Cricetulus griseus: one gene and its partners. The protein of the gene in region 2 interacts with the protein of the main gene of each other region in a biochemical or structural test. Links are inferred from orthologs where the notes say so. Each region holds a gene or a part of one and is shown on either strand. Other genes may lie near its edges.

Region 1 (3,647 bases), on a different chromosome or scaffold from region 2:
ATTGGGAGGGATTACTTTTGATATTATTATTATTTATTATCTTTGGATGATCAATGCTATGACTTCCTGGAATTTCCTTTTGATACCCCCCCAGCAAAACAAACAAACAAACAAACAAACAAACAAAAAACAAAGCCATATAGCCACGAGTGACAGAAGCTGTGCAAGGGGCACTGGTGAGTGCCTCTTCCTTCTAGCCCTGTGAGTGACAGTCAGCTCTCTCAGGGGAGGAACTGGCAGGTGCTGTGCATGTGTATGTATATATATCCAACTGTATACTTAGACTGGACTGAAGTTACATTTCTGGGTGTCTCTGTATTTTTAAAAACTGAACTTTGATTGCCCCCAGGATGGTTGCCATGCCCCAGATCTTGGAAAATAATATTGCTTCTACCTGCTTGTCCCCCTCCCCAGGTCTGGGGGCCAGGCTCCCTCACCACCTACAAAGGTTAGCTGAAGTCTTCTCTTGAGCACATGCTTTCTAATTACTCACATGCTTCTTTGGGCTGGGTAAAACAAAGCATTCCCTTTTCCCAGAAGGGTGTTTGTGGCCGACAGGTCCTCTGAGCATTTCCTGGCAGCAGGCAGGGGTGTGTGCATGAAGCTTTCCTCATTAGGCTGAGGGGAGGGAGAAGCCATGTTGTAAGATTGCTGGGTGCCAGCTAGAAAGTGGGGCTGAAGGCCTCTAAAAAATCTAGGTTCCCACTGAGGCAGCTGTCTGCATGGTCTCTATCTTAGCACATTTATTTTGTCTGCTCATGGACAGGAGTTAAAATGTAGCAACTGTCTAGAAAGGTTTTAGAGAGAGCAGCTGAATGCCAGGACAGGATATGAAGGTTTTCACGTGCTTTTCTTTTTAGCACAGATGTCTCTCCTCTAGAGTGAGTTATGGCGTCTCTCACATACTTAGGGCTGTGGGTGTGCATTTTCTCTTTAAATTCTCTAGTCTGAGGACAGAACTCTTGTATAGGCCAAGAGGGGGCTGCTAAGTTAGAATGTGCTGAGGTGGTCTCACTGGAATGGAGAGGCAGCATACACTTGCTGGAAACACATCCTCCTTCTGAGGTTGGTGTGAGGTGATTTGAGTGAGCAGAGACCTCTGAGTGGAGTCATTCATTTTCTGTGGGATGAGGTGCTGTTTCCCTTTGTGCACAGGAGTTTGCACATAGCAGTTTAGATGTCAGAATGAATTCCTGGATCTCACCACTAGCTCCCTTTCTTGAGTTGCTAGATGCAAGTATGTGTGCAGGGCTTAGGAGACACTGCTGCCAGTGGAGAATGTCTGTATATAATGGGACAGTTTCTGTGTCAGTTAGATAGTACATGGCCCCTTGCATTTTAGGGAGCAGGTTATAGACATCCTTCTTTAGCAGTCTAGTCAGGTCCAGTTAGCCCAGAGAGAATCCAGTTGGTTGTTCTAGGCTGGTAAGGGGGTGGAGGTGGGGCTAGATGTTCCCCTTTAAGAAGCTAAGGGCTCAGACCCGCCAGTTTCTTGTAGTGGCAAGATATCCTCTACTGTCTGTTGACTGGAACTAGAGCTCTGCCAAGAAAGAAACACCTCAGAGTCTTACATTTAGCCTTCCTGAGCAGTGTTAGTAGTTCTCATATTTTCAGGTTTATCATTTTAGGTATTTTGAGAAATAGGAGAGGAAGAAAGATGGTGTGGGGGAGGGGAAGTACTATGTGTGTCTTTATAGGAAATGACTTCAGGGCTGTTGACTTAAAGTGTCAGAGGGGACCTGCAAAGAGAAAAAAAATGAAAAGAGAATTCTGAAGTCTTCCTAAAGTCAGATCCCTGGGTAAAAGATTTTATAACGGAGTTGAGAAATCAATATGATTAAAGCTAACTGGCTTAAAAATAAACCCATCAAAGTTAGTAAGAGGATAATGCTATTCCTGTCCTTACTCCAGTGACTTATCCGAGCTCTTCAAAGGGGTGAGGCTTTATAGAACAGGGAGTTATCTACCTCCTGACAGGCAAGAGGTATTTGTTTCTTGCATCACCTTGGGGGTCCCCAGAAGGCCATCAACAAGAGACTGTTCCTACCCCTAAATCTTTAGCACCCAGAGGGGTTTGCCTTGTGGGTGAGTGTTATACATGGGCCTAGTTGGAATTCAAGCCCAGGAAATTGCACATTAGGTATTTCTCAAATAATCTGCTGATTTGGGCAGATATCAAACTTTGTGTGGCCAATTTTGACAATACCTCTTACTAACAGATGCTTAAGCAAGTGTCTGTTGAAGGCTCCTCTCAAAATGACTCTTCCAGACAGCCCTCCGAGATTTGAACTTGTTTAGAGCCTGTTTTGAAAGTGTCTGGTGCTGATTTCTGGTGGCTTTTAAATTTAATTTGTTTATAAATTGAAGACAGAAACAGCACATTATGAAGTGAGTGGAGTCCAGCTCTAATCTGAAACAGTTATAGTTATTGATTACTCTGGTAGAGAAGGCAGAGCAGGGAGCTGGCAGCCTGATTATCATAGCATCTGAGGTGCCGGGATGTGTTACACAGGATCACAGAGAAGATAGAGCTAGTCCCAGGGGCTTTGCCTGGACTGGTCCCCATCAGGAGTTTAGAATGACTAGCCAGGAATAGCCTCTGAGAAAATGGCTCTATCATGGTGGCAAGGATCTGTGGGAGAGAGGTCACTGTCATAATGGTTACCTTTCTGTGTCTATGACAGCTGGTTTAGTAAGGTCCTTCCTTGTCACTTTCTAAACCACAGAAAGCAGAGACATACTCTACACAGTGACCTAACTAGATGCTCCTTACTTCCAGGTTTTAGTACACAGTGTGCATCAAAAGAAGGAGTAGATCTTGCAGTAGGAGAAAAGGCTGAGAGGAGGTCACAGGATAGAAAACTTACTATGAGGGGAGCAGAGAAAGTTACTTCTGCTGCAAACCCAGTAGTCACAGAACCATATATACGTGGGTAAGGGGATGGGTGGTGGGTGATGGGTGGGTGACTTTCATTTTAAAAACAATTCCTGTGTGCCTGATTGGGGATGTGATAAAGAGAGATGTCTGATGTTTGCATAATGCATATATTCCTTAACAAAAACTTTCAGACCATTTGACATATTTATATTATTGGCTATTTTTGCCAATTGTGTGGCCTTAGCTATTTACATCCCATTCCCTGAAGATGATTCTAATTCAACAAATCATAACTTGGTAAGTGACTTAGAATTCCCACTTGTGGTGGTGTACGGTTACCCTCTACCTGGTACCTAAGCTTACAGCCAGCTTTGTTCGTGGTGTAGTTTACAATTATGTATGCTGTATTTCCCAAAACTTAGTAACAGTGGGGTTATGTTGTTGTTACTGGTTTTTAGATTTGACCTGAATTCTTAGATTTATGCTGAATGAAAGTGTTCAAAGTCATGAATCTGACATAAATAGAGATAGAACTTTTATGGAAGAAGTTTGTAGAAAGGTTTTAAAATAACTTTTCTCTCTAGTCAGGCTTTTGGTACATAATATTAGTTCTTAAGAAATCCAGTGTTATTTTTGAATGGTGGATACTATGGTTAATTTTTCTGGTAAATAAGGATTGTCATAGATTTTGTATGTGAACTTACTAATTTTTATAGATGTAGAATACAACAAATCTGATTAAATAGAATATAATTTGGGAAATAAATCA
Region 2 (4,414 bases):
GTCCTGGGTGTTGGGGCAGTGGAGCCCGCGCTATGGGGGTCCGGCCCTTGCTGACCTTTCATCCCACCTGCCACCCAGTTCTTGTAGAGCTGGGGCTGCAGAGGGGATGTCAGCCAGGGTCAGCTGAGGGGGAGTGGCTGAGGTCACACTGACAGTCGGGAGGTGGTGTAGGGCAATCAGCGGACTGAGCTGGAGGCCCGGAGTCTCCTCCGGAGCCGGACGGGTGGGGCAACCAGGCCAGATACCTGACGCGGGGAGGGGGCACTTCGGAGCTCGGTCCCCACGAGGGGGAGGGGTCCTCAGCCCGCAGTTAGACGCCTGCTCGCCTACAGTTCTTGGAACTCTCTTCCTTAAACATTTCGTTTTCCTTCCCCAACCCTCCTCCCCCCAGCCCATCCCCACTCCCCCAAAGTCAGCAGTACCCTCCACTGCTTCCCATCTCCATGGCAACGGTGCAGGAGCCGGGCCTGGTGTGGGGTGGGAGGGACCAGACCAGACATTCTGCTTTCCGGTTCTAGAGTGGGGAGTGGGGGGTGGTGAAGAGGAGAGAGAAGGACCGCATTTGGAAAGGAGCCACCCCTCAGTAGGCCACCTTGAGAGGGACGACCCTCCCCATCGCCTGGTCCCCCATATTGCTGCAGTTACTTCTTAGCCTCCTCCCCAGCCTCCCCACCCAATCCAAGTTCTCCTCGGTGGAGCCACCAGTGCCAAACAGTGCCAACCCACCCACCCTGCTGTGCCAGTCCTGAAACACACCCACAGGTCATCCACAGCTGCCCACACCCACCCAGGCCACCACAGCTTGTCACCTGGACGGTCCAGCCAGGGCCAGCCTCCTTATCCACCCACATATCCTCTTCACATGCCCCAGTAACCTCTCATAGGTCCCTTGGGCACAGCTCAGGGGAACTTCTCTTTTCTGCACATCCACCCACATTTGTGTCCCTTGATCCCCTCCAGGGACAGCTCATTCCCCAGCAGCAGCCCTCCAAACATGTGGTCAGCCACACTTCAGTGAAGTCACCAGCTCTCGGGCACCTCCTGCTGCCCCAGGCTCAAAACTCACACCTCCATCTCGCCTTTACTATAAAAGTCATTCTCAACCTCCCTGGGGTGAAGAGGCCAGGCTCTGGCCAGGAGGGCAGGATGCCGGGGTGGATTGGTCCACCTGTCTGTCCTTAGCTAATTTTAGCTTCATTTTCTGTGGCTTGACAAAGTGGGCCAGTAGCTCCCGTGGTGATTCTGTGATTTCTGGGACACACTGGGTCAGCAGCAAAGTGGAGCGCAGGGGGGTGGGGGCTGCAAGCGGGGCCAAGGACAGGGAGGAGAAGGGTACCAAGAAGGCTGAAGAGGTGGTGTGAGCTTGTCTGTGCAGAGGTCTGAGGGTACGCCTACTCTCCCTTGCCTCCCAAGGCAGAGGGAACAGGCTGCCACGGTGCCTGTCACTGAATGGTATTGGTAGCTTCTGAGTGGCACTATGCTGAGGGTCACCTTTGCCTTGCCCAGCTGCCTGTGATGCTGCTGTCCCCCGTCGCCCCGTGGCCCCACGATGACCCACAGCCCCGCGACAAGCGAGGACGAGGAACGCCACAGTGCCAGCGAGTGTCCCGAGGGGGGCTCAGAATCCGACAGCTCCCCAGACGGGCCAGGGAGAGGCCCCCAGGGGACCCGGGGCCGGGGCAGTGGAGCACCTGGTAACCTGGCCTCTGCCCGAGGCCTCCAGGGACGCTCCATGTCTGTCCCAGACGACGCCCACTTCAGCATGATGGTTTTCAGGATTGGCATCCCTGACTTGCACCAGACGGTGAGTCAGCTGACAGCCACATTGACCAAGGCTATTTCCCCACCCCTACTCCCGGCTCTACCCCTTTTTCAACCTACCCTCAACCCTCAGACAATTAACCCAACCTGGCCATCCTATCTCCCACCAGAAATGCCTGCGTTTCAACCCTGATGCCACCATCTGGACAGCCAAACAGCAAGTCCTCTGTGCCCTGAGTGAGAGCTTACAGGATGTGCTTAACTACGGACTGTTCCAGCCGGCCACCTCAGGCCGGGATGCCAACTTCCTGGAAGAGGAGAGGCTGCTAAGAGAGTACCCCCAGTCCTTTGAGAAAGGGGTACCCTACCTGGAGGTGAGGCTCCAGAACACTTAACAGAAGTCGTGCCCTGGAACACGTCCACTCTGATGCCAAGAGAACCCCAGTGGGCTCTTCAAGATGTCCCGAGAACTCATGGGATCCTGAGTCCAAATCACCAGCTGAGTTGCCTCAGATGGCATTCCTTCCCTTCCTTATGCCATCAGCTGGACAGGAATCCCAGCTACAGTAGTCATTCTAGAACATTCCGTGTGTGGGTTACACTTGCAAGATAGGGGTTATAATTCAACAGACCTTGATGATCTAGTACTCTTGGAAAAGTCGCCCTACAGGGGCCATTTCTATGCTAACCCTGAACTCATCTGGGAGGAAGGGAGGAGTATCAGACATTATTCCCCAACAAAGAATCTAATTACAAGTCTGTGTCTCTTCATACTCCACTCCTGGTCTCAGTTCCGCTACAAGACCCGAGTCTATAAACAGACCAACCTGGATGAGAAACAGCTGGCCAAATTGCACACAAAGGTGAGAGTACCTCCCCTGGGTGTGCCACGCTGCACCCAGAGCACTCTGTCCATGGCCTTCTTTTCCAGTCTTTGCCCATAAACCCTCCCCTCTGCCAACTCCTCAGTTACACCAAGTCCTCCATTTAACATTGAATCCTGTTTGGAGATGCCTGTTTGTCTCCATCGTAACCCCTCCCCACTTCCCTCTGTGTCCTGTCCTGCCCAGACCAATGCCATCTGTGCCTGTTGTGTGCATTTGTAAGGGAGGTGGTGGTGGCGGCGGTGGAGTGAGTGGATGGGTGCACACGTGGAGGCCAGAGAACAATTTTGGGGGAGTCAATTTTCTTTTTCCACCATATGGGTCCTGGGAATGTAACTCAGGTGGTCAGGCCAGGCCTGGTGGTAAGCACCTTTACCTGATGAGCTATCTCACTGGCCCCACCTTATTTTTAAGACAGTCTTTTACTGGTCCGAGGCTCACCATGTAGGTCAGACTAGCTGACCAGGAAGCCCCAGGGATGTGCCTGTCTCCACCTCCCCAGTACTGGCATTACAAGTGCACACCATCATCACCCCTGGCTTTCTTATGTGGGTTCTAGGGAGACAAACTCAGGGTCTCATGCTTGCGGGACAAGCACTTTACTCCTAGCCCTTCACCCCATTCTTTTTAGTTTGTTTTTGTTTTTGTTTTTTGAGACAGGGTTTCCCTGTGGCTTTGGAGGCTGTCCTGGAACTAGCTCTTGTAGACCAGGCTGGTCTCGAACTTGCAGAGATCCGCCTGCCTCTGCCTCCCGAGTGCTGGGATTAAAGGTGTGCGCCACCAGCACCCGGCTCACCCCATTCTTTTAATTCTGCCTTTCTGCTCAGAAGCACTTAGGGCCCTTCTTTTACCCTACCTCAGTCCATCTCCTGCCTAGGGAGTATTTCATAGACACCACAGTGCCCCAGGCCTATAGCCTGTGTCTCCATCAAGCACAGACTCTCCCTTGCCTTGCCTTGCCTTGCCTTGCCTTGCCTTGCCTTGCCTTGCCTTGCCTTGCCTTGCCTTGCCAGACACATTTATTCTGTTGGGTTCTTTCCCTCCAGACCTTGGCTGATATCTCCCCTGTGTCTGCCCTGGTCCCCAAGGAGCTGTGAGGAAGTTAGGAGGCTGATGTGGCCAGAGGGAAACAATGTCTTGACATTCAATGGAAAGAATTCCCCTCTCCCCCGCCTCCCAAAGCTCCTCTGCACCACACCATCCTCCCACTTATTCCCTCCCCTCCACGCCTTTCCCCTCGCTACCTGTGCCATCCACAGTGGCCATGTGCAACTCTTTTGTACATGTGACAGGTGTGAATTGAGTCACACTGCAAAAACCGTGCAAAAATCCCACTGTATCTTTTTTTAAAGATTTATTTTATTTTTAATTGTGTATGTGTATGTCTGTGTGTGGGTATGCACATGAGAATGCAGGTACCCAAGGAAGTTAGAAACACCAGATCCCCTTGGAACTGGAATTACCTGCCATTGGTTGGTCCTGGGAACTGAACTGGGGTCCTTTGTAAGAGCAGCAAGTGCTCTGAATAGCTAAGGCATTTCTCTAGCTCCTGTGTTATCTCTTTAAAATTGCATTATTTATTTATTACTGTGTGTGACTGGTGGTGGGGTGGAGATGGCATGTTCATGTTATTGCTCACACGTGGAGGTCAGAGGATAATTTCTAGAGCTTAGTTTTCTCCTCTCATGCATGTTTTGGAGATCAAATTCAGGTTGGCAGGCTTGGCTGCCAGTACCTTTACGAGTAAGCCATCTTGCCTCCCCCAAACC
Region 3 (3,647 bases), on a different chromosome or scaffold from region 2:
TCTATCTGCTAAAGTTATCACTACAGGTGCTGGAGAGATTGCTCGGCAGTTAAGATCTCTTTCTGACGTTCTGAGTTCAATTCCCAGCACCCACAAAGCAGCCCACAAACACCTGTAACTCCAATTCCAGAAAATCGGATGCCCTCTGGCCTCCAAATACCTGCACACATGTGGTACATACAAACTCACACGGGAACACACATGCACAAAATTTAACAGTTCAAAATCTCATTATGATCTCCTAATTCTGAGAATATGTATTTTAGCCAAACAAAATCTCCTTTTAAAAGAATTCTTCCTATTCTTTCTCAGCAGAAATGAAAGCATGAGTTGACAAGTCAATCTTCTTCATCAAGGTTAACAATCTCAAAGTATTTCTTTTGACTCTACAGTGTCATTGTGGTCTTTTTAAATCTTTGTCGTTTTTTAGCTACTAAGTTCATCACTTAAGGAAAAAAAAGGGGGGGTAATTCTTCCAGAGGTATGATTTTCATGGAACGTTCTGGAAGGATGAGTGACTGCCCAGCCTTTGCTTATTATGTTACTATTCCTTTGTTCAATCTTCAGCTGGATGTGTTTGTTGCAAAGGGGGAGGGTTCTCAGCCGACTTGCTACTGGGCAAGTGGTCAATGTGATTGGCAGATCCAACAATCTTTTTTAGTCACCATTGAGCTCCACCTGCCCTCAGTTAATTACTAAGCATTACTAAATATTATACAACTCTTTAGCAGTTTATGCCCATTTCTTACAAACATCTCACAGAGGTGGCAATGAACTCAATGAGTTGACACTCATTTGACAAGATTAAAAGGAACCACAGTGTTTATCAAATCCATTTCAATAGCCTTCTTCAATGGAGAGGCAGAAGTGGGGACATTATTCTCGTTTCACTGGTGAGAAGCTGAGGCCCACAGAGCTTCCACAGAGAACCACAGAATGAGAAACAAAGGTTCAACTCAGGCTGAATTTTGCCTGTGTTCTTTTCAAGATACCATTTAATTGTGTACTATGACTTCAAAAGCACTCCCCATTTGCCCACTGGACATTATTTTAGAAACCTATAAGAGCGAATGAATCTTTTTAATGTCTCCTGGGGTGCCCACCCCTCTCGAATTATTTAATTTTGCTTTTTACCCTTACTGGATTCCCAGAGTTTAAAAAATGAAAGTAAACAGCATCAGAAGGAACCACCTCATGAGGCTATTTCAAGGAAGCAAAATAAATCCCACCACACACACACACACACACACACACACACACACACACACACACACACACACACTCGTGTGGAGTTACAGGCAGTTATGAGCTGCTATGTGGGTGCTGAGATTTGAACTCTGCTCCTCTGCTCCTACTGAGCCATCTCTCCAGCTCTGCAGGTCTCAAATGTGAACTTAGCAGATGACAATGCCATGTTCCAATCCCAGGAGTTTGGACATGTCTACTCTATAGGATGCACAGGCTGGGACTACAAAAGTCAACCTGGTTGTCTTCTTGTCAATTGTTGAAGGAGGTGTTATGTTAGAAATTAGAGCTGACAATTAGAGTCCTCTGGGTTGCCAGCTAAACCTACTGTTAGTCCTTCCCCAAACCAGAAAGTAACATGAAAAGGTCAACACAATCAGAGAACCAACAATAGTATAAATCCCAGTGGAAAGCATGGACTATTCATTACAACTAAAAGGAGGTACAACACTAAATTGGATGGGGGTTGGGTCTTACAAGCCCACACCCTTATGAAGTCATATTTGCATGAGCCCTGAAAAGTAGTAGTGCCTGTGCATTGAGTGGGCTTTTAGCTTTCGTTTTATGTTCAGGGTTTGTGATTCCCATTGGACTTTAGGACTGCAATAACCAAGGGGACAATCTGAAAATGAAAACACACTGCAGATAGTTGCAGGCTGGGAGCCCACCTGTGTCCATCTCGTCCATGTTGCTGAGGAAGTCTTCTGGAGTTGTGGGGACACTGTAGCACCCTAAGCCCAGACCACTGTCTGTGCTCTGCTCCCTTGAATGATAAGGCCCTCTACGGAGAAATAAACAAACAAATAAATAAATAAATAAATAAATAAACGTGAAGACCTTAACATGAGTCCACTAAATAAAGATCACAGTAAAGATGCAGCCACAGAACTTAGTCAATGAAAGGGAGAAAATTCTACTGGGCCCATTAATTTTCAGATGTATAACCTGATCTTAAGGAGTGAAGGAATAAAATAACCATTTAACCCTATTCTAAGTACAGATTATGGTACATGATCCTACTTAAGTGAAATTTAAAAACCAGAAAAAAATTAGTGCTGAATAATGATCATAGATATACTCATTAATGGTAAAAGAAGTATTATGTAGCCAGTCATGGTGGGCCATGCCTACAATCCCAGCACACAAGAGGCTAGGGAAAAGGGATCCAGAAAAATAGCAAAGTAAACTGTGATGGCCACACACTACTTTCTGAAGAGTGGCTGTGCCTGAGGAAAGAATGAAGGGAAGAAAGAAACTTAGTGGTGTAGAGATGGGCTCAAACAGTGCTTGAAATATAACAAGCCTGGATGGTACCTCAGTTTTCTTTATATTTTTCTATTCTTTAAAATAAACCACTTCAAAAAATCCATTCATTCATTATTTTGGCTACTTGCTTTTTCACCTCTATCTTCATTTGCATTTGCATGCCAGGAGCCTTGGTAAGAGCAGAAACACAATGCCCGCTCCCATGAGGTATACAATTAAGGTTGACTTTCTATCCTTCAGATACTTCTGGCTAAGTCAACCACTTTTCTTTCTCTTTTAAAGCCAACATCTCTGTTTTAATTAATTCTTAATTAATCAATAATGTAAAACTCACACCAACATGCAAGAAGAAAGTAGTTTTTACGTACCTCCCACCTGGCTCCCTAGAAACAGTTTTCATCATCAGAGCAGAAAATTAACACTAGTAACAAAACTCTAAACCTTATTCACTTTTCACCATAAATTCTTCTGACTTTTCTTGTTCTATTTGCTATGGCATGCTTTTAACCTCACCCTTACTTACTCCCAAGAATGTCAAGATGCTTACAAGTGATTACCAAATAGCACTGTCCTGTTGAAAGTTCATCCTCATGTGCAAATCACTGAGGGACATACTCAATGTCATGTGACTAGGTTTTGAAATTGAAATTTTTTTAAAAGCTTCCTTTTTCTCTCTTCTGTCAGCTCTCCCCAACTCTCCCCATCCCTCAAGAACCCTGCCTTTTCTCCATGTAAACAAACACCCCAATACAGCCTAAACCATAGGCCAGAAAGCAACAGTCAATGGTCCCCAGTGTGAACTTACCCATTGAGGAATGGATCTGAACTATTATTGGTGATGGACCTCATATCCGTGGTCATGGCAGGTGGGTTGACAGAGGCCATGGTCTCTTCCATGGGGAGCTGTCGGCAGAGGGCCGCTTCCTATACAGGAGTCATGGGGAAAGGGAATCACTCAGATGCCACAAAGGGTTGCTCACCAAACATAAAACACTTTGTACCTATTCCAGTAGATCAAAGTCATCAGAAGATTAGCATTCTTTCTCCACAGTCTTCAACACATACCACTCTCTCCACTCCCAGCTAACAGAACCCAAGGGAAAACTGATCCTCTGGATGTTTTAAAACCACACACC

What was found.
Region 1: the proteins of Shank1 (region 2) and Cacna1d interact in a biophysical measurement, tested with the Homo sapiens proteins (2 studies listed by IntAct, with this or other methods). The link is inferred for Cricetulus griseus from reciprocal best matches to the Homo sapiens genes SHANK1 and CACNA1D.
Region 3: the proteins of Shank1 (region 2) and Wwtr1 interact in a test that uses a peptide from one of them, tested with the Homo sapiens proteins (2 studies listed by IntAct, with this or other methods). The link is inferred for Cricetulus griseus from reciprocal best matches to the Homo sapiens genes SHANK1 and WWTR1.

What each region holds. Positions count from the first base shown.
Region 1 is NW_023276807.1:189,385,377-189,389,023, forward strand, and holds part of Cacna1d (voltage-dependent L-type calcium channel subunit alpha-1D), read left to right. Parts: intron 1-3,069; coding exon 3,070-3,175; intron 3,176-3,647. UniProt on the Homo sapiens protein: Voltage-sensitive calcium channels (VSCC) mediate the entry of calcium ions into excitable cells and are also involved in a variety of calcium-dependent processes, including muscle contraction, hormone or neurotransmitter release, gene expression, cell motility, cell division and cell death.
Region 2 is NC_048599.1:153,179,628-153,184,041, forward strand, and holds the start of Shank1 (SH3 and multiple ankyrin repeat domains protein 1), read left to right. Parts: upstream 1-1,549; coding exon 1,550-1,804; intron 1,805-1,931; coding exon 1,932-2,135; intron 2,136-2,552; coding exon 2,553-2,624; intron 2,625-4,414. UniProt on the Homo sapiens protein: Seems to be an adapter protein in the postsynaptic density (PSD) of excitatory synapses that interconnects receptors of the postsynaptic membrane including NMDA-type and metabotropic glutamate receptors via complexes with GKAP/PSD-95 and Homer, respectively, and the actin-based cytoskeleton.
Region 3 is NW_023276806.1:93,981,087-93,984,733, reverse strand, and holds part of Wwtr1 (WW domain-containing transcription regulator protein 1), read right to left. Parts: intron 3,436-3,647; coding exon 3,317-3,435; intron 2,027-3,316; coding exon 1,914-2,026; intron 1-1,913. UniProt on the Homo sapiens protein: Transcriptional coactivator which acts as a downstream regulatory target in the Hippo signaling pathway that plays a pivotal role in organ size control and tumor suppression by restricting proliferation and promoting apoptosis.